Linked DNA regions of Oryctolagus cuniculus. The protein of the gene in region 3 interacts with the protein of the main gene of each other region in a pairwise test. Links are inferred from orthologs where the notes say so. Each region holds a gene or a part of one and is shown on either strand. Other genes may lie near its edges.

Evidence for each region.
Region 1: the proteins of EGFR (region 3) and PLCH1 interact in a protein complementation assay, tested with the Homo sapiens proteins (2 studies listed by IntAct). The link is inferred for Oryctolagus cuniculus from reciprocal best matches to the Homo sapiens genes EGFR and PLCH1.
Region 2: the proteins of EGFR (region 3) and MAPK9 interact in a protein complementation assay, tested with the Homo sapiens proteins (3 studies listed by BioGRID and IntAct, with this or other methods). The link is inferred for Oryctolagus cuniculus from reciprocal best matches to the Homo sapiens genes EGFR and MAPK9.
Region 4: the proteins of EGFR (region 3) and LCP2 interact in binary tests that used the Homo sapiens proteins (3 or more experiments, as listed by UniProt). The link is inferred for Oryctolagus cuniculus from reciprocal best matches to the Homo sapiens genes EGFR and LCP2.

Annotation. Positions count from the first base shown.
Region 1 is NC_091435.1:125,274,404-125,278,657, reverse strand, and holds the start of PLCH1 (1-phosphatidylinositol 4,5-bisphosphate phosphodiesterase eta-1), read right to left. Parts: upstream 2,808-4,254; 5' UTR 2,309-2,807; coding exon 2,044-2,308; intron 2,017-2,043; exon of another isoform or gene 1,613-2,016; coding exon of another isoform or gene 1,570-1,612; intron 1-1,569. UniProt on the Homo sapiens protein: The production of the second messenger molecules diacylglycerol (DAG) and inositol 1,4,5-trisphosphate (IP3) is mediated by calcium-activated phosphatidylinositol-specific phospholipase C enzymes.
Region 2 is NC_091437.1:67,213,690-67,217,674, forward strand, and holds the start of MAPK9 (mitogen-activated protein kinase 9), read left to right. Parts: upstream 1-1,178; 5' UTR 1,179-1,372; intron 1,373-3,985. UniProt on the Homo sapiens protein: Serine/threonine-protein kinase involved in various processes such as cell proliferation, differentiation, migration, transformation and programmed cell death.
Region 3 is NC_091447.1:57,876,133-57,879,643, reverse strand, and holds part of EGFR (epidermal growth factor receptor), read right to left. Parts: intron 2,014-3,511; coding exon 1,867-2,013; intron 601-1,866; coding exon 503-600; intron 1-502. UniProt on the Homo sapiens protein: Receptor tyrosine kinase binding ligands of the EGF family and activating several signaling cascades to convert extracellular cues into appropriate cellular responses.
Region 4 is NC_091437.1:57,184,405-57,188,549, reverse strand, and holds the start of LCP2 (lymphocyte cytosolic protein 2), read left to right. Parts: upstream 1-1,338; 5' UTR 1,339-1,551; coding exon 1,552-1,629; intron 1,630-4,145. UniProt on the Homo sapiens protein: Adapter protein primarily involved in signaling pathways within T-cells, as well as other immune cells such as platelets, mast cells, and natural killer (NK) cells.

The DNA.
Region 1 (4,254 bases), on a different chromosome or scaffold from region 3:
AGAACTTATTAATTTTATACACTCATAGTTTGTATAATTTAAGATGTTCCTCTTAAAATTAATCTAGAGTTCAGAAGAAAGATTTGAAGAATAGTCTTGCTGGTGACTAAGATAATTTTAATATCAAAAAAATCAGTAAAGGAAATTTCTCACTCTATAAATCATTAAATAGAAAATCTATTTCTATGAAGACAAAATATGAAATATGTGATATTAATATTTCTTTGTAAGCTCTGAAATAAATATTCAATTAATAAACTCTAGTAAAACCATTTGTGAGTGAAAACATCTACTATAAAAATAATACACCTTATACTTATCAGCTTTAAAAGCTTATGTGACTAAATAATTCATTCAAGTTACCATAATGTTTCAGATATAGCTTTACTTTAACTTTAATTTTATCTTAAAGACCACATTATGAAGTGAAAGTTAGAGAAGTCACTTTCATCATTACTCCCATGATACGTAATACCAGACAATCCTGACAGTACACTATGTAATTACATTTACTTTTACATTCTGCATACAAAACAGTTTATAAATACATTAAAGGACAAAACTCTAAATGCAGATCCTTCTGACAAACTACATCTCAAGTAAACCAAATCCTATCCTATTTCTGTATAAAAGCTTCTTCCCAGGCTTATAAAATTCATGTATACTTGGGATATCTCAACCATGGTACAACTGGCATTTTGAATAAAAAGCAAGCATCAATGCTGATGCCATGACCATGGCACACTGGAGTTGATAGCATAAACTAACAACAATCTCCAGACAGGCCCTCAGATCAAGCACTGAGGTGCTAAAGTTATATTTGAGTAGATGCACATGAATAATCCGAAATGACAGACAAAATTCAGTCTGAAGATAAGTTTAGAAGGCATTTCTTGACATTTATTCTGTCTGACCAGGCAGGAACACTTCTCGGAATTCAAGAACAATCTCCATGTATTTTAAATTCCTGATCTAACTCATACCTTGAAATATTTCTCCCATGCTACTGGAGATGAATGTCTTTAAGGACATGACACATGGATTCTGCCTCCATTTTATCTGTGCTGAATACTTCTGCCATTCATTTTATAAAGCCAATTATTTGTACTACCTATGACTGTCTTTAATTGGTATAAATTGGGAATCATTCTCTCCAGATTACCATAGAAAGTTAAAATACAGCTGTATTCATCGTTACTCAAACTTGACAGTGTTTACATTAAAATCCACTGTTTACAAGTGGCAGACAAATGAAATTTCTAGGCATGTCTGCAACCTTGACTTACAACCTAACACAAATGATTTCCTCACTGACCACTTTATTATAATGATGTACTTTCAATTTGTCAGCATGCAAATTCTAGCACTATAAAAGTACACAGACAAGAAAAAAACACTTTTGCCTAATCAAAAGTCTTTACCTTTCATGTTAAATAGAATATGCCAAATACATTGTCAAGAATTCAAACAAGTCTTCCACTTAACTAAACAGGAAATAAAATAAGAGATGCTTACCATCTTTTACTAGGACTAACACACTTACCTTAAAATTAGTAGTATGAATCTTACCTTTTTCTGGACTTAAGTTTTTATATACTTCAAGGTCTGCCATTAAATTTAATATTGTTACACATTATTGGCAAGAGCAGGAAAATTTCTCTCTAAAGGCAGAGCCTTTTTCTGATACACATCTCCAGAAAGAGGGGGGAAAGGCAAAAATGAAATCCTTAGCAGCCCCAAAAACTGGGCTCATGCTGCCCTTTATGGCATGATGAGATCGTCACAATTCAGGCTTGACAGTGTGGAGAAAAATCAATCCATGAGATATGACTGTAGAACTTTGTCCCAAAGTGAAAAGCACAGCCAGATAAGCACTCTGGCAGCATCTGCTCAGGGCTGCCGCTATTGTGGGAATGCAGGCGCTGTGGCTACTCTGGGTATGAGACATGCATGCTTAGTGCAGCGCTGAAAGCCCTCCAGGCATCATGCACATTTAATGTCTCGGAAGTTTAGGTCTTTAACCATCAAAGAAATCCTCCTCACCTACGGAAGTCATTGAGAAACACTGATAACTGTGGCGTGACGCAAGCTGGATGCAGAAACGAACAGGCACACACAGAGAGACACACAGATGCGCACACACAGACACACACATGCTCTCAGAAGCTAACGTCCCTGCGTTAACAAGCTGCACACTGTCTTCTGCACTACAGGCTACTTCTGTAGCTGTCAGGGGCCACGTATATTTACTCTCTCGGGAAGCCTTTCCTTGTTTTTGTTGGTTTGTTTTGTTTTGGTTTTTATCCATATTCCTCACACAAACAGCAACAAACACAGAAAAGACTGGAAGGTTTCCAACTTAGAAGCAATGAGGTTACAATCTTAAAACACTTGATGCAGCGAAGGCTATTTCTCAGATTTAAAAAAAAAAAAAAAAACTTCCCCGTGGGCAAGGTAAATAGCATGAATGAGTCTTAAAAATGTGAAAGATTTAGTGAATGAAGCAGCACATGATTATAGTACAATTTTCCTACAGTATATCTAAACGTTATTGAGAGTTTCATCCGCTTCATTGAAAAAATAGGTATATAGACACACAGATAATTCATGGGCAATTTACCATGGTCCTGCTTAATTAGTCTTGCATTTAAGTGTTGTAACTAGGTCTCTCCACCTGAGCAGTGACTCCCAGAAAATTCTCTTCTGAATTATTGACCCTTATTTCCATGTCCTGCTCCCTGGCTTCTTGCTGACCACCCACCCATGGTCCCTGGAACTCCCCCAACATTTCCCACTCTGTAGTCACCAGTGTCAGTGTCTTTCCTCCATTCCTATCAGAGCTGCCCAGCCTGCACTGCTAACCCACCCCTCTACTCTACCCCATTCCCGTGCTTTCCAATTTGCATATCCCTTCCCCTAAGTTGTAAATCTCAGTATTTCCTCTTAACTACTTCCATGAAATTTTCTATTTCCAGTTCAAAGGTGTAGGGGGGGTCTATATAATTAGAATATCTTTCTGGCCACATTGAATCTGACATATACACACATACAACTAAACCACAGCAATGAAGAGTTTAGGAGTCTATCTGCCTGGGGTTCACACCCTGACTCTGCCTCCAACTAGCTATGACATCTTCAGCAAGTTACTTAAACTCTCTGCTCTTCAGTTTTGTTATCTGTATAATGGCCATAACAACAGTCTTACTTCAAAATATTATTCCATTTTAAGAACTTAATATAAACTACTTAGAACCATGATATTATATATTATCATTACTATTATTGCCTTGAAATTCTGTTCATCACCCCAAAAAAGCAAGGGTCTTCATTTTTTGAAAGGAAATTTCTTTTTTTTTTTTTTTTTTTTTTTTTTGAAAGGCAGAGTGGATAGTGAGAGAGAGAGAGACAGAGAGAAAGGTCTTCCTTTTGCTGTTGGTTCAGCTTCCAATGGCCGCCACGGCTGGCGCCCTCGGCCGGCGCACCGCGCTGATCCGATGGCAGGAGCCAGGTGCTTCTCCTGGTCTCCCATGGGGTATAGGGCCCAAGCACTTGGGCCATCCTCCACTGCCTTCCTGGGCCACACCAGAGAGCTGGCCTGGAAGAGGAGTAACCGGGACAGAATCCGGCGCCCCAACCGGGACTAGAACCCGGTATGCCAGCGCTGGTAGGTGGAGGATTAGCCTATTGAGCCTCGGCGCCAGCCGGAAATTTCTTTTTTTAAAGATTTATTTGAGCTGGCACCGCGGCTCACTAGGCTAATCCTCCGCCTAGCGGCGCCGGCACACCAGGTTCTAGTCCCGGTTGGGGCGCCGGATTTTGTCCCGGTTGCCCCTCTTCCAGGCCAGCTCTCTGCTGTGGCCAGGGAGTGCAGTGGAGGATGGCCCAGGTGCTTGGGCCCTGCACCCCATGGGAGACCAGAAAAAGCACCTGGCTCCTGGCTCCTGCCATCGGATCAGCGCGGTGCGCCGGCCGCAGTGCGCCGGCCGCGGCGGCCATTGGAGGGTGAACCAACGGCAAAAGGAAGACCTTTCTCTCTCTCTCTCTCACTGTCCACTCTGCCTGTCAAAAAAAAAAAAAAAAAAAAAAGATTTATTTGAAAGGCAGAGTTAGAGAGAGAGAGAGAGAGAGAGAGAGAGAGATCTTCCAATCTCTGGTTCACTCCCCAAACGGCCAAAATGTCCAGGGCTGGGCCAGACTGGGCCAGAATTGGGAGCTTCTTCCTCATCTCCAATGTGAGTGCAGGGGCCCGAGCCC
Region 2 (3,985 bases), on a different chromosome or scaffold from region 3:
GTTGGGACCTCATCTCTGATAGCCCGGCTTTTACTAGTTTCTCATCTTTTTCAGTAACGGCAATTTTAGGTTCCCTGTTTTCTCCTGAGCAGCTAGCTGAGGCAGGTGGCAGGAGCCCACCAGATGGGTCCATTTCAATGCAGACCACGTTCAGGAGCCGGGATTAGTGATACTCAATTTTAGAAAACTCCCCCTGGCGGCCATGGGAGGACACCACGGCTAGATCCCGTTCTCTGCCCCACCCCTCCTCTGAGGCCGTGGTGCCTGCACGAGCCCGGCCCTTCAGAACCTGGGTCACAGGCTCGCTTCTCTCCCCAGATTCTGCAACACTCCACCCCAGACCTGCAGGGTCCTGCTACTCCCCCTGCTCTGTGGACCTCGGCGTCCCGGGACTGCTGCCCCAGCTCCTTACTCACCACTTATCAATCACGGTCCCCAACTCTATCGGTGCCCGAAATCCGACGCCCCTAGCCCACGACTGGCCTCGGAGCTTTTCCCTCGGGGAGCCCCGCCTCCGCCCCTCATCCCAGCTGTACTTGTCCGGTCCCTAGGGGGCCCTTCTGCTCCCCCTGAGCCCTGTCAGCCAGCACACTCCCTCCTGCTCCTGTCGGCCGGGAAGACTGGTGCACGACGGTCATCTCCTCGCACCCTGCGCCTGAACCCTGACCTTTGGCCGCACCCCTAAACCCGTCCAGTGGGGCGTGCGTGCGGCACGTCCGCAGCGAGCTGAGTCCCAGGCGCCGCGCCTCCCTCCTCCTGTCTCCTTCCAGGTCGCCTCGCTGCTGGGCGCCTGCACCTGCAGCCCCGGGGCTCGGACCCACGAGTAGCCCCGGTCCTGAGGCGCCGCGCCTCGCCTGCGGCCCATCCTCTCTCGCCTCCTCCCGGCTCGGCGTTCGGCCGCAGCTCTGCGGACCCTCTTTGCCCGGAGAGAGGGGTCATCGGGCGACCTCAGCCACGCCCGTCTCTCCAGCCCACTACACGCCGCTACACGCCGGCACTGCCCCACGCCGCCTCCGGACCCTGCACCAGACCTCGGACGCAGACCCGGCCTGGCCTGGCCCCGCCCGAGTCGCCCGACAGCGGCCCGCCCCCTAGCGCGATTGGCCGCACCCGCCGGGCTCTCCGCGCACTGATTGGTGGAGTCACGGATCGGTCAGGCCGGGCGCCGCGGCGGCGGCGGCGGCGGCGGCTGAGGGGAAGGGAGCCGACCGGAAGGGTCGAAGCGCCCCGCGCCCCTCACACCCACTGCGGCGGCGGCGGCGGGGCGGAGCGGGGCGGGGCGGGGCGGCCAGCCTAGCCGGGAGCGGCCAGCGCGCAGCGCCGCCAGTGCGCCCGCCCGCCCTCTACCCCGGCGCGGCTGCAGGGAGGCGAGGTGAGCCCGAAGGGCTGGCTAGGCCCGGCGTGGGTGCTGGGGTCGGGCGCGGCGGGGAGCGGGGTGGGCGCGGGGCCTCTGGGGCCGGGCCTCCGGGGCTGGCGGGAGCCGCGGGGTTGCTGGCGGGCCGCAGCCCCTGCCCGCCCGTGCCGCAGTCGCCCCCTCCCGCCCGCTGCCAGCGGCGAGGACCGCGGAACCTGGCCCCGCAGACCTGCCCGCGGGGGTCTGTGGCCCCCTCCTCCAGGCGGGCCGCGCAGCTGCCCTCTCGCCCCGGATGCTCGGTGGTCCCCGCGACCTTGGATTAGGCGCTGGCTGCCCCTTCGGGAAAGTGGGGCCATGTCTGATCTTCAAGACTGGGCTGTCTGTGGGAGCACCTGGACGCAAGTCTGTGCACACTGGTGGACTATAGGGCCGGATACTGCCCCTTGCTGGCGTGAGTGTGGTGGGGGCCCCCTCCCCACCCATCCTGTGCCTTGTCATTGCGCGCCCAGTGCTCAGCTACGCGGAGCAGGCCCTGCCCACCACAGCTCTTCCCCAGAGCACTGCTCCCTGGGCCCGCTAATCCTCCCACCTGCCAGGAACTTGCTAACCTCCGTGTCCCCGGGACTTTGCACCTGCTGCCTCTCCTGTTTACGTCGCGTCCAGGACCTTTTTGTTCCTTGCTCTGTCCAGATGTCTCATTTTCAGCGAGGCCTTCCTCGGCTACCCTCTGCAAGGGATCATTCTGTCTTGTTATTTTGTTTCATTTTCTTCCTAGCACTCTGAGTTGAAACTGTTCTATTTATTTGCCTCTCCTTTTCTGTCTTCCCCCACTAGGCTGTAGCTTTCTGTAAACAGGTAGTTGTCTGATTTGTCTGCTTTCTCCTGGTACTTATAGAAAGCATACAGTAAGTATTTGATAGTCTCAGTTCAGCGAATGAATGAATGATGTAAGGAGCGTGCCTACCTGTTGTCTCTGCTTTACCTGTTCATTTAGTGACTTCTGAGTGACTTGTGAAACTCGGAAGCTTGTTCTCATTTTGTAGAACATCTTAACGTCCTTGACCTCTTTATTTGGTAACTATGGTAACGAGCTATGATATAAAATGTTACATCTTTATAATGGTTTAGCTCTAACGACCTCCTAGTAAATCCAGGAGACAGCCACTGAATTCTCCATTATCTAGGTCATGCTTTTTGCTGGGCCCTAGGGACACAAAGGAGAGAGCGACAGGGTCCCTTCCCCCAGAGAGCCTGGGAGCCCCGTGGAAAAGGCATGACGCACAGGGTTGGTTCCAGGACAGTGGATGATGCCTGCGGAAGGGTGGAGCAACAGGTGGTGCTGGTGGGCCTCCACGCTTGCCAGGCCAGGAGAGGTGCAAAGAGTGTGAAAGGGCAGGGCCAAGGAAGGAACCTAACGCTGTGTGGCGTTGGCCAGGTGTGGGAGCGTGTAGTGGTGGGGACCCTGGAGGAGGAGCCCCTCGCCCAGCAATTTTCTAAAAGAAGCTTCAATCCACAGTTGCACCTGCACTCTCCTGATTTCTCAATATTGGCAGTAGCTGTTTGTTGTTGTTGTTGTTGTTGTGAGCCTAGCCAAATACAGACCTCATTCAGCCTGGTTGCGGGATTGTGGTCCTCCAGGACGGACTGTGGGTGGGAGCCCGGCCTGCTCAGGTGCTTACTGAATTGTCCCTGGGGCCCTGGAAGGAGCAGCGAAGACACCTGTTTTCACAGAGGAAGAAAAGCCCAGAGTCCCTGCTCTGCAGCACAATCCCTCACAAGACGATGCTTCCCTGGGGCCCCCAGCCCTGCCTGTGCTCCTCTGGCTTCTAATTCGTTCTGAAACAACAACACTCAATCTGTGTAATGCTTTCCTCCATTTAACCTTTTATTCTCTTCAGAAGTAACCAGTGGGGTTAAAAAAAATCCTATTTTGGCATAGACTTCTGTGGAAAGCTTTCATTTGCCTGAGGATTTAACTTTCAGGATCCTGGGACTTTAAAATAATTTAGTGAAAGGGCATAACTTTGAAATAAGTGTTAAAGAGTAGAATTGAATGTTTCTATTTAAAATAAAATCAGGTTTCTGGCTAAAATATCAGGCAAAGTGATTGTTAGTAACCAGTTATTCCCTGATGTCTCAGGTAACCTAGAAGTCAGGGATTTTTCTTAAGAAGTGCTGATTTGGCTGCAAGGCAACTATTTTTGGTCTAAATATGTACCTGGACTTCACACTTGGCAAGAAAGTTTCCATTTTTATATTTTTATCGTTAATTCTTTTTTTTAAAGATTTATTTTTATTTATTTGAAAGAGTTACAGAGAGAGGTAGAGACAGAGAGAGAGGACTTGGGCCATCTGCCACTGCTTTCCCAGGCCACAGCAGAGAGCTGGATGGGAATTGGAACAGCCGGGTCTCGAACCGACACCCATATGGGATGCTGGCACTGCAGGCCAGGGTGTTAACCTGCTGCACCACAGCGCTGGCTCCCACCTAATAATTAATTCTTAATCATTTGTACTTGATTGTATGAACAAGGTTTCAGCATTAGTCTTTTAACTGTTTATGATAGTGACTCTGAAAAGACACAAAAAGAACGGTATCCAGCTTCAACAGTTAGAAACCCTGGCTGATTT
Region 3 (3,511 bases):
TTGGTTACAGGATTAGGTCTACCAGTCAGCAGGTGCCTCTGTTTGCCACTTTAGTCATAGTAACCCCTCTTGTTCTCTGAAGAAAGATGCTCACCCCACTGCACATGGATGCTTTGAAACCAAGCATCAAAAAGTCTCTGAGATGCACACAGAGAAGGCGGCTCAGAAGGGGAGGGGTGTCGTTTACGGGAGCGTTGTGCTGTGACATGGCCTGAAGAATACTATACAAAAATGATTTCACCAAATCCTTGAGACAGCCCCACGATCTGGCTTTGCTATTCCCCTACTAGGGAAGGGGATTGGTGGAGAGGTTGCCTGATGGACCTAGGGGAAAGAGGCCAGTCAAGGAGGTAAAGAGAGGTTTGCTGGCCACCAAAACTTGGGCTTCATGTTCAGTGTACCTCAGCTGAGGCTGCTCCACTGCACCAGGAGCCAACAATGGGAGTGTGGGGACACAGGGACTCTGATGCTCAGTACAACAGGCACTGCTGTGGTCTGGTACCTGAATGACAAGGTAACGCTGAGGGTCTCGGGCCATTTTGGAAAATTCCACAATCAACTCCCGGAACTTTGGGCGACTGTCAGCATCTATCATCCAGCCTGAGGAAGGAAACGGAGAAAGGACAGTGGTGAGCAAAGCTGGGCTCTGTGCTGGACTCCTCACTCCTGGCATGGCAGGACAGCATTCTCAATCTGAATCAGAATCAGATCTTCTAAACTTTTCTCTATCTATTCCTCCTAGGGTTGGCGTCTAGTGCCCCTGTGACTTGCAGTCCTGTCTGTGAGCAGCTCTGACCTGGGGTACCTAGCATTTGCCAAAGCCCCCACTTGACATTCAGCCACAGCACTCTCTCAAGCTGGAAGCCAGATTCAGCTTAGAGAAAAGGGAAGGCCTTCAGGGCCGCAGGTTGTGCCCTCCCCACCCAATGCTTCCCCCAGATCCCTCAGTCAGCACTGACTCAGACTGGAAGGAGCTGTGTGAGAGCCCCCTCACCTGGGGTGCTCTTGACAGACAGGCTGCTGCATTTGGTGGCTCAAGGATCCCAGTCCAGAGTAACTAAGTTGGAGAAACAGCCCCAGAGTGGCACTCACTGACTCCGAGGGTTCATGTTTATTTTCCATAAGCAGATGTCAAGCTATTTTAGGCCAGACTGCTATGTGACCTCAGACAAATCAGGTGACCTCTCTGTTTCCCAGCTTCCGCAACCCAAACCAAGTTAAAATGGATGAGCCCTGCGGTCTGAGGTTCAGAGGGGTGTTGACACTGACACCAGCTGTGTCAGAATCCCCTCATGCCTTCCTTGTCAAAGGCTTCCTGTCTGGGTGGTGTTGGCTCCAGAGCCTACTGCACATGTGGTTCTGGTGGAACAAGTATTAAGAGATCACATTCTCTACTAGCTTAAAACATTCAAACGCCACACTGTTGAAGGCCTCATATAAATCTACTCAAAGTTGTAAGTCACAGCAGCAATGCTGATCCTTGCCGCTTCTTGTGGTTACTCATTGTTAGGCTTTTAAAAACATTCTGTCTCTCCGGTAACAGTCTTCAAAAAATGTGACAGCTTAGTACTTCATTGAGCAACTCAGAAAATAGACCATTTTACCCTAAGAGTTTACGGAAGATTTTGATTTACTTTTTGGTTTGCAAATGTCAGGTCACACTGCTCAATGAGTCAAGCAAGTGCTCTTTCAGGAACACATGCAGAGGCATTTATGGAAGTTTCTGGAAGGTGTCCTGCCTTGAGAATGTGGCAACGTTTCCCCTAAGGAACAGAGGCCTCAACTGTTTGCACAAGGATAGCAATGCCTTTGCAGGCATGATAAAGTGCAATGAGGCGAGCAAGGATGGCCTCTCCAGTCACTCACACTTGACCATGATCATGTAGACGTCAATAGTGCAGATGGGGGGCTGTGGAAGTCGTTCTCCTTTCTCCAGCACAGACGCGATCTCACTGGCAGGGATTCCGTCGTAAGGCTTGGACCCAAAGGTCATCAACTCCCAAACGGTGACTCCTGCGGGGCAAAGGAAGCAAGCAGAAAAGCAAACACATTAGAGGTCAGTGACCATCAGAGACCCTCATCTCGAGCCACACTACAGGGGTCAGTGACCATCAGTGACCTCACCTAGAGCCGTACCACAGGGGTCAGTGATGGTCACAGCCTCATCTACAGCCACACCACAGGGGTCAGTGATGGTCACAGCCTCACCTAGAGCTGCACCACAGGGGTCAGTGATGGTCACAGCCTCACCTAGAGCTGCACCACAGGGGTCAGTGACCATCAGAGACCTCATCCTGAGCTGCACCACAGGAGTTAGTGCCAATTGCAGAGCTTCATCTTTAGTAACCAAGTTGATTGCTGCTTCTCGATGCTAGCACACAAATATCTCTGTGGCTCTGGGAGCCTCCGTTACCTTTGTCGAGTGGGGCAACAACAGTGTCTTTCTCAGAGAGTGTGGGTGAGGGTCGAAGCACAGGACAGAAGTGACACACGTAGTGCAGTGGCTGGCAGCAAGTCACTGACAGATGGTCAGCGTAAGCTGGTAACCACACCGTGACACTGGCTTTCCTAACATGCCGTCTCTGCCCTAGGGAACTTGCATTTTCAGTGGCAGGAAGCTGGGGATTCTGTGATCTTAGGTAATAGAAAAGCAAACACAGAGACCTGCGTTCCTGTTGATGCACACAAAAATCTTAACCACATATCATGATTAACACCAAACCAAAGCAGCAGTGATTTTAGAGTTGGTGGTTTTCAGATGACTGTGAGTTCACACAGTACTCTCATCGTAGAGCTCAGGTGATGAGATTCTCTGCTCTAGAAATGTGCAGAGGCCAGTGAGCAGTGCTTCCTTAATCCCCATGGCTATCCCCTCCTCCCAGCACCTGTGTCCTGCCCCAAGATGAGTTCAGTGCAAATGAGCCCTGGATCCCAACTTCCCCAGGAGGGAGAGACACAAGATCCTGTTCTCCAAGCAGCCCAAGGGCCCACTCTCCTCAGACCTGGCCTCCAGATCCATTTTTCCACAGCCTTTCCTCAACAGAACCGCCTGAATTAATCCAGAGAACAGGGCTGGAATGAGGAGGAAGCAGTGGCCCAGGAGCAGGAACACAGTCAACCCAGTCTTGTGGAAGAACTCTCATTTCCAGACTGGACTGATTCTTACTTGGTTTCTCACCTAGCACAGTTTACTCTGGTCAAGGAGTGTTCTTCAGGTTTCAGAAAAGTAGTAAGAGTAGGGTGGGGTAGCTAGTGGGGTCTGCAGGGACTAGAAAGGCTGTTAGTTCTCCAACTCCTTACGAGAACACACCAGGTCCCAGAGGCAGTGACACACGTGCATGGAGGTAGCACTTCAGAAAGCCTCATTTTTATACTGGAAGACTGTTCCGCCATGGTTCTCTCAAGTTTGGCTTCGTTTCCAGGCAGATGGGTTTCCTACACTGGAGCACACACCCCTCCTTTCCCACTCCTGTGACCCTGTTCCCTGCTGGAGGAAGTCACCAATGTCTCC
Region 4 (4,145 bases), on a different chromosome or scaffold from region 3:
TCCCCAGGGCAGAGCATGCCCAGTTACTCTTTGGCACAGGACCTGGGAAGGAGCGCTTGGCCTAGACCACCTGGATTGAAGTCCCCAGCACCCACTGAGGTGAGGCTATCACCAGCCCATGCACCATTGTCCAGGTGCCGGGCCTGGGACTAAATGTGTGCCTCACTTAAGCTCGCAACCGGCTAGGGAGGCAGGAGCATGACATGACAGTGGGCTCCTTACATTGTGTATAAGATGTAGAGTGTGTGTGGCCAAAGCTACCCTTGAAAAACCTTCAGGAAGGCACCATGCAGGGACTGTCATAGCATTGCTCAGTAAGGCAACAAAGCTTGATTCTTTCCCAAAGCACCAGCACTGGTGGCTATGTGTGTGTGTGTGAGAGAGAGAGTGAGTGTGTAGAACCGAGTGAAGTAGCTCTATTTTGTTCAGAGGCCACTGCTGCATTGCACAAATGCATTGCCTTTTAGACCCTGGCTTGGCTGTCTGACAACAAGTTGCTCCGTCTATAGAAATGCACAGTCTGAGACTGGTGAAGAAATTAGAAGATTCCTACTCCTGTCTCCAGGGAATGTGCTTTTTGATTGAAACACATGATGTCATCAACAGTGAATAAAACATGAGCTGTAAACACACAGTGGAATCCAAGGCACCAGCTGTAGCAATTGTCACTTCTAGCTTTCTGATTTTTTCATTTGAAGGTTCTCAAGTTAAATGCATCTATTTGTTATGTGTGTATAAGGCAATTCCTCTGCTTTCCTATTTTACATATAGGGAAACTGAGCTCCCCAGATTTTAAGTCCTTGCCTAAGGTTGCACAGCACAGAGAAGCTCCCATCAGAAGGGAACCCGGGTTGGCCCAGGGTAGCGCCTTGCTCAGCCTTGGATGCCTGACGCACTACAGACTCACCCTCTCATTTCAATGGTAGCAGGCAGAGACTGCTAGAGACTAGGGCTGAGAGAAGAGGGAAGAAGGGGCATCATGCATGCGTCCCCCCACACCACAGCTCCCTGTTGCTGGAAGTTGTCTATATTTTAGGTCAATTGTCAGATGAATAGATATTCATCTGCAAAGCCCCAGCAGAGCAAGAACGTGGTGTAGACCCATGGGGTGGGGCTGAAGGGACAGGAGTTTTAACAGCAAAATGCTTGGGCTGGCTTCGGAGTTTAAGCGCCCTTCATGGCCCCTCCTGCTGGGCAGGGGTGCCCAGGACCACGGGCGAGGTGGAGAATGACCTGCCCTGTCACTCTGTCTGCATCTCAAGCCCTCAGAGCTGGGCTTCCTTGTTTACTTATTTAGAAGCCAGCAGAGGAAGTGGTAAAGGAAACTAGCCAAGTCGTTTTCTGAGAAGAGACCATATTTGTTCGCAGAGGAAGCTGCTGCTTTCTGGGATCCGACTACAGCAGAAAAGACGTCTGCTCCAACAAGGCCGATCCAGGGGCAGCTGGGAGTTGGGAGAGCCAAGGACGCCTCCAAGATCTGGATTTGGGGTTCTCTGTCCATGGGTGCAGCATCCACGCTCAACCTGTGAGCCCCCTCCTAAGACAGCGGCCATGGCACTGAGGAACGTGCCCTTTCGCTCCGAAGTCCTCGCCTGGGACCCTGACAGCCTTGCTGACTACTTTAAGAAGGTGAGACCCACTCTTTTGTTGGTGGTCGGGCTGGGAGTGCCCTCCATGGGCTGGGCAGAAGACAAGAGGTGTAAAAGACAGCTGTGGAGTGACTGGCCTCTCGGCAGCCTTGTTGGGAGAGTGAGCGCCATGGGAGACCACTGAGAGCTCCTTGCAGTGAGTTCTGGAGAGGAGGGTGGGAGCAGGAGCTCTTGAATGAGTAGGTGCCTACCATGTGCCAGGGCCTGAACTCGGTACACTGCAGCACTGTGCCATTGATCCCTCTTGACAATCTTCTGAGGTCAATATTGTCATCCCTGTGGCTCAGCTTCAAGGTAGGCTCAAGGAAGCTAAACAGCCCAAAGCCACAGGGACTACAGGTGGTAGTGACAGAAGGATTGGAGTCACTTCTGTGCAGTTTCAGTCTGTGCTCTGAGATGAAGAGAACTACATTCTAGAAAGGGGAGACCTGGTGCTCTGGGTGCAGAACAACAGGCAGGGAAGGAGGCAGGGGTAGAGGGTGAACAACGCTAGACATGGCGTTTGGCCACTCACTGCTCAGGGCCCAGAAAGCTGGGTCCTCAAGTTCTTACATAGATCAGAGTCTCACTGCAGTGGAGCCGGGACCAGGGTTGCTGTCCTACCTTCCAGACTTGGAAGAGATGCTCAAAGATCGTCTGCTTGTCCACCTGCTGGTGGGGATGACAGGACACAAGCCTGCCCGAGCAAGTATGGATCCTCTGTTCCTGTCTCTAGCATAGGATGCCTTGCAGGGGACATTTGCTCTCTTTTTTAAGATTTATTTATTTGTTTGAAAGTCAGAGTTACACAGAGAAAGGAGAGGCAGAGAGAGAGGGAGAGAAAGAGCGAAAGAGGTCTTCCATCTGCTAGTTCACTCCCCAGTTGGCTGCAACGGCCGGAGCTATGCCAATCCAAAGCCAGAAGCCAGGAACTTCCTCCAGGTCTCCCATGTGGGTGCAGGGGCCCAAGGACTTGGGCCATCTTCTACTGCTGTCCCAGGCCATAGCAGAAAGCTGGATCGGAAGTGCAGCAGCCCATATGGGATGCCGGCGCTTCAGGCCAGGGCGTTAACCCACTGTACCACAGCACCAGCCGAAGGGACATTTGCTCTTCTAACATCCTCTTCCCTGCAGGCTGGCACCACATTTAGTTGATACTGCAGACCAGCATAAAGAAGAGCTTGTAGCACTAAGACTTTACATGTCATCTCACTTAACTGTTTTTCCTGGGGAAACTGAGCCCCGCGGGGGTGGAATAGGCTCTCTGGGACACATAGCTGAACCTGAGGTCTCATAGTACCAAGGTATTTGCAGTGATGATGGTTCTTCCCCAGCCTAAAAACAAAAACCTTGAACCAGGTGTGGCATGGTAGGGGCACAGCCCCACAGAGCCTGTCGTTTTCTGTTTCTTGTGCATTTCACTTCTGTTGTCCCCTCTGCCTCCACCCCACACATGTATAAAGTCATAACAAAACTAGGTTTTGGGTTTGTAGATGCAAAGATCATTGGACAACTGGCCCGACTGGCCTTTGAAGAGTGTTTCTAATACTTCTCTGAGATAGGGCGATCAAAGGTAAAATTTGCCCAGATGGAAGTATGTGGTACGTTATTGCAATAAAGAAGGGAGAAAGGAGTTGAGAGTTACAGAGGGAAAGGCCCAGGAGAGGCTGAGGGGCTATTTCAAATGTGGTCAGAAAAATTTCACAACTCAGCTGACCGACAGAGAGTCTGTAGACAAAGTTCCTGTCAGCGCAGGGCGATAGGACAGACTGGAGGGCAGGACACAGCTCTCTGTCTGAGTTCGGGGAAGAGATGATTCTCTTCTTGGAGTTCTAAGACCTTGCAAAAACTGCATAGCACTGGGCCAGGTTCCCCTCCCGGCACAAAAGGACCCAGGTAGGAACAAGGAGGCAGAGGGGAATCTGTGACCCTGGAAGTCCCAGGCCATCTCAGTCCCCAAGAGACAGAACCAGGAGCGCACTGACTGCAAGTTCATTTGGGGATGGATCTTAGTGATCAAGCATACCCATTTAACGCATCAGTGGGTAGGCGTTTGGTGGGTGCAGCTTCTACCCACGTGTCAGGGTCAGGCTTCCCTCAGTGATACCACGCTGCCCAACTCTGGAGTCAGACACACCTTGTTGGAACCCTGGCTCTGCCACCTGCTAGTTTGGTGGCCTTCCCTTAGCTACTTCGCCTCTCTGAGCAAGTCAGTCCTCAAGAGAGAAAACATTGCTCAACACAGGGTCATCTGGGGATGGATCTTGGAAATAAAATGTATCATTTCACGGGTTGATTGGTAGATGATTGGAAGGCAATTGGTAGGCACAAGTTCTACCAAAGCAGGCAATTAAACAGACATGAAGGGTAACAAACCCAGTGGAATGGTTGAGAGGAGTAAAGGAAATAGTGTATGTGAGGCATTCAGCAGACAGAGGTATCAAAATGTTTATTGCTCCCAGTTTCCTGCTGTGTTAACTGGCCACTCATTGGTATGTGGATCGCAGGGCTCTAAGT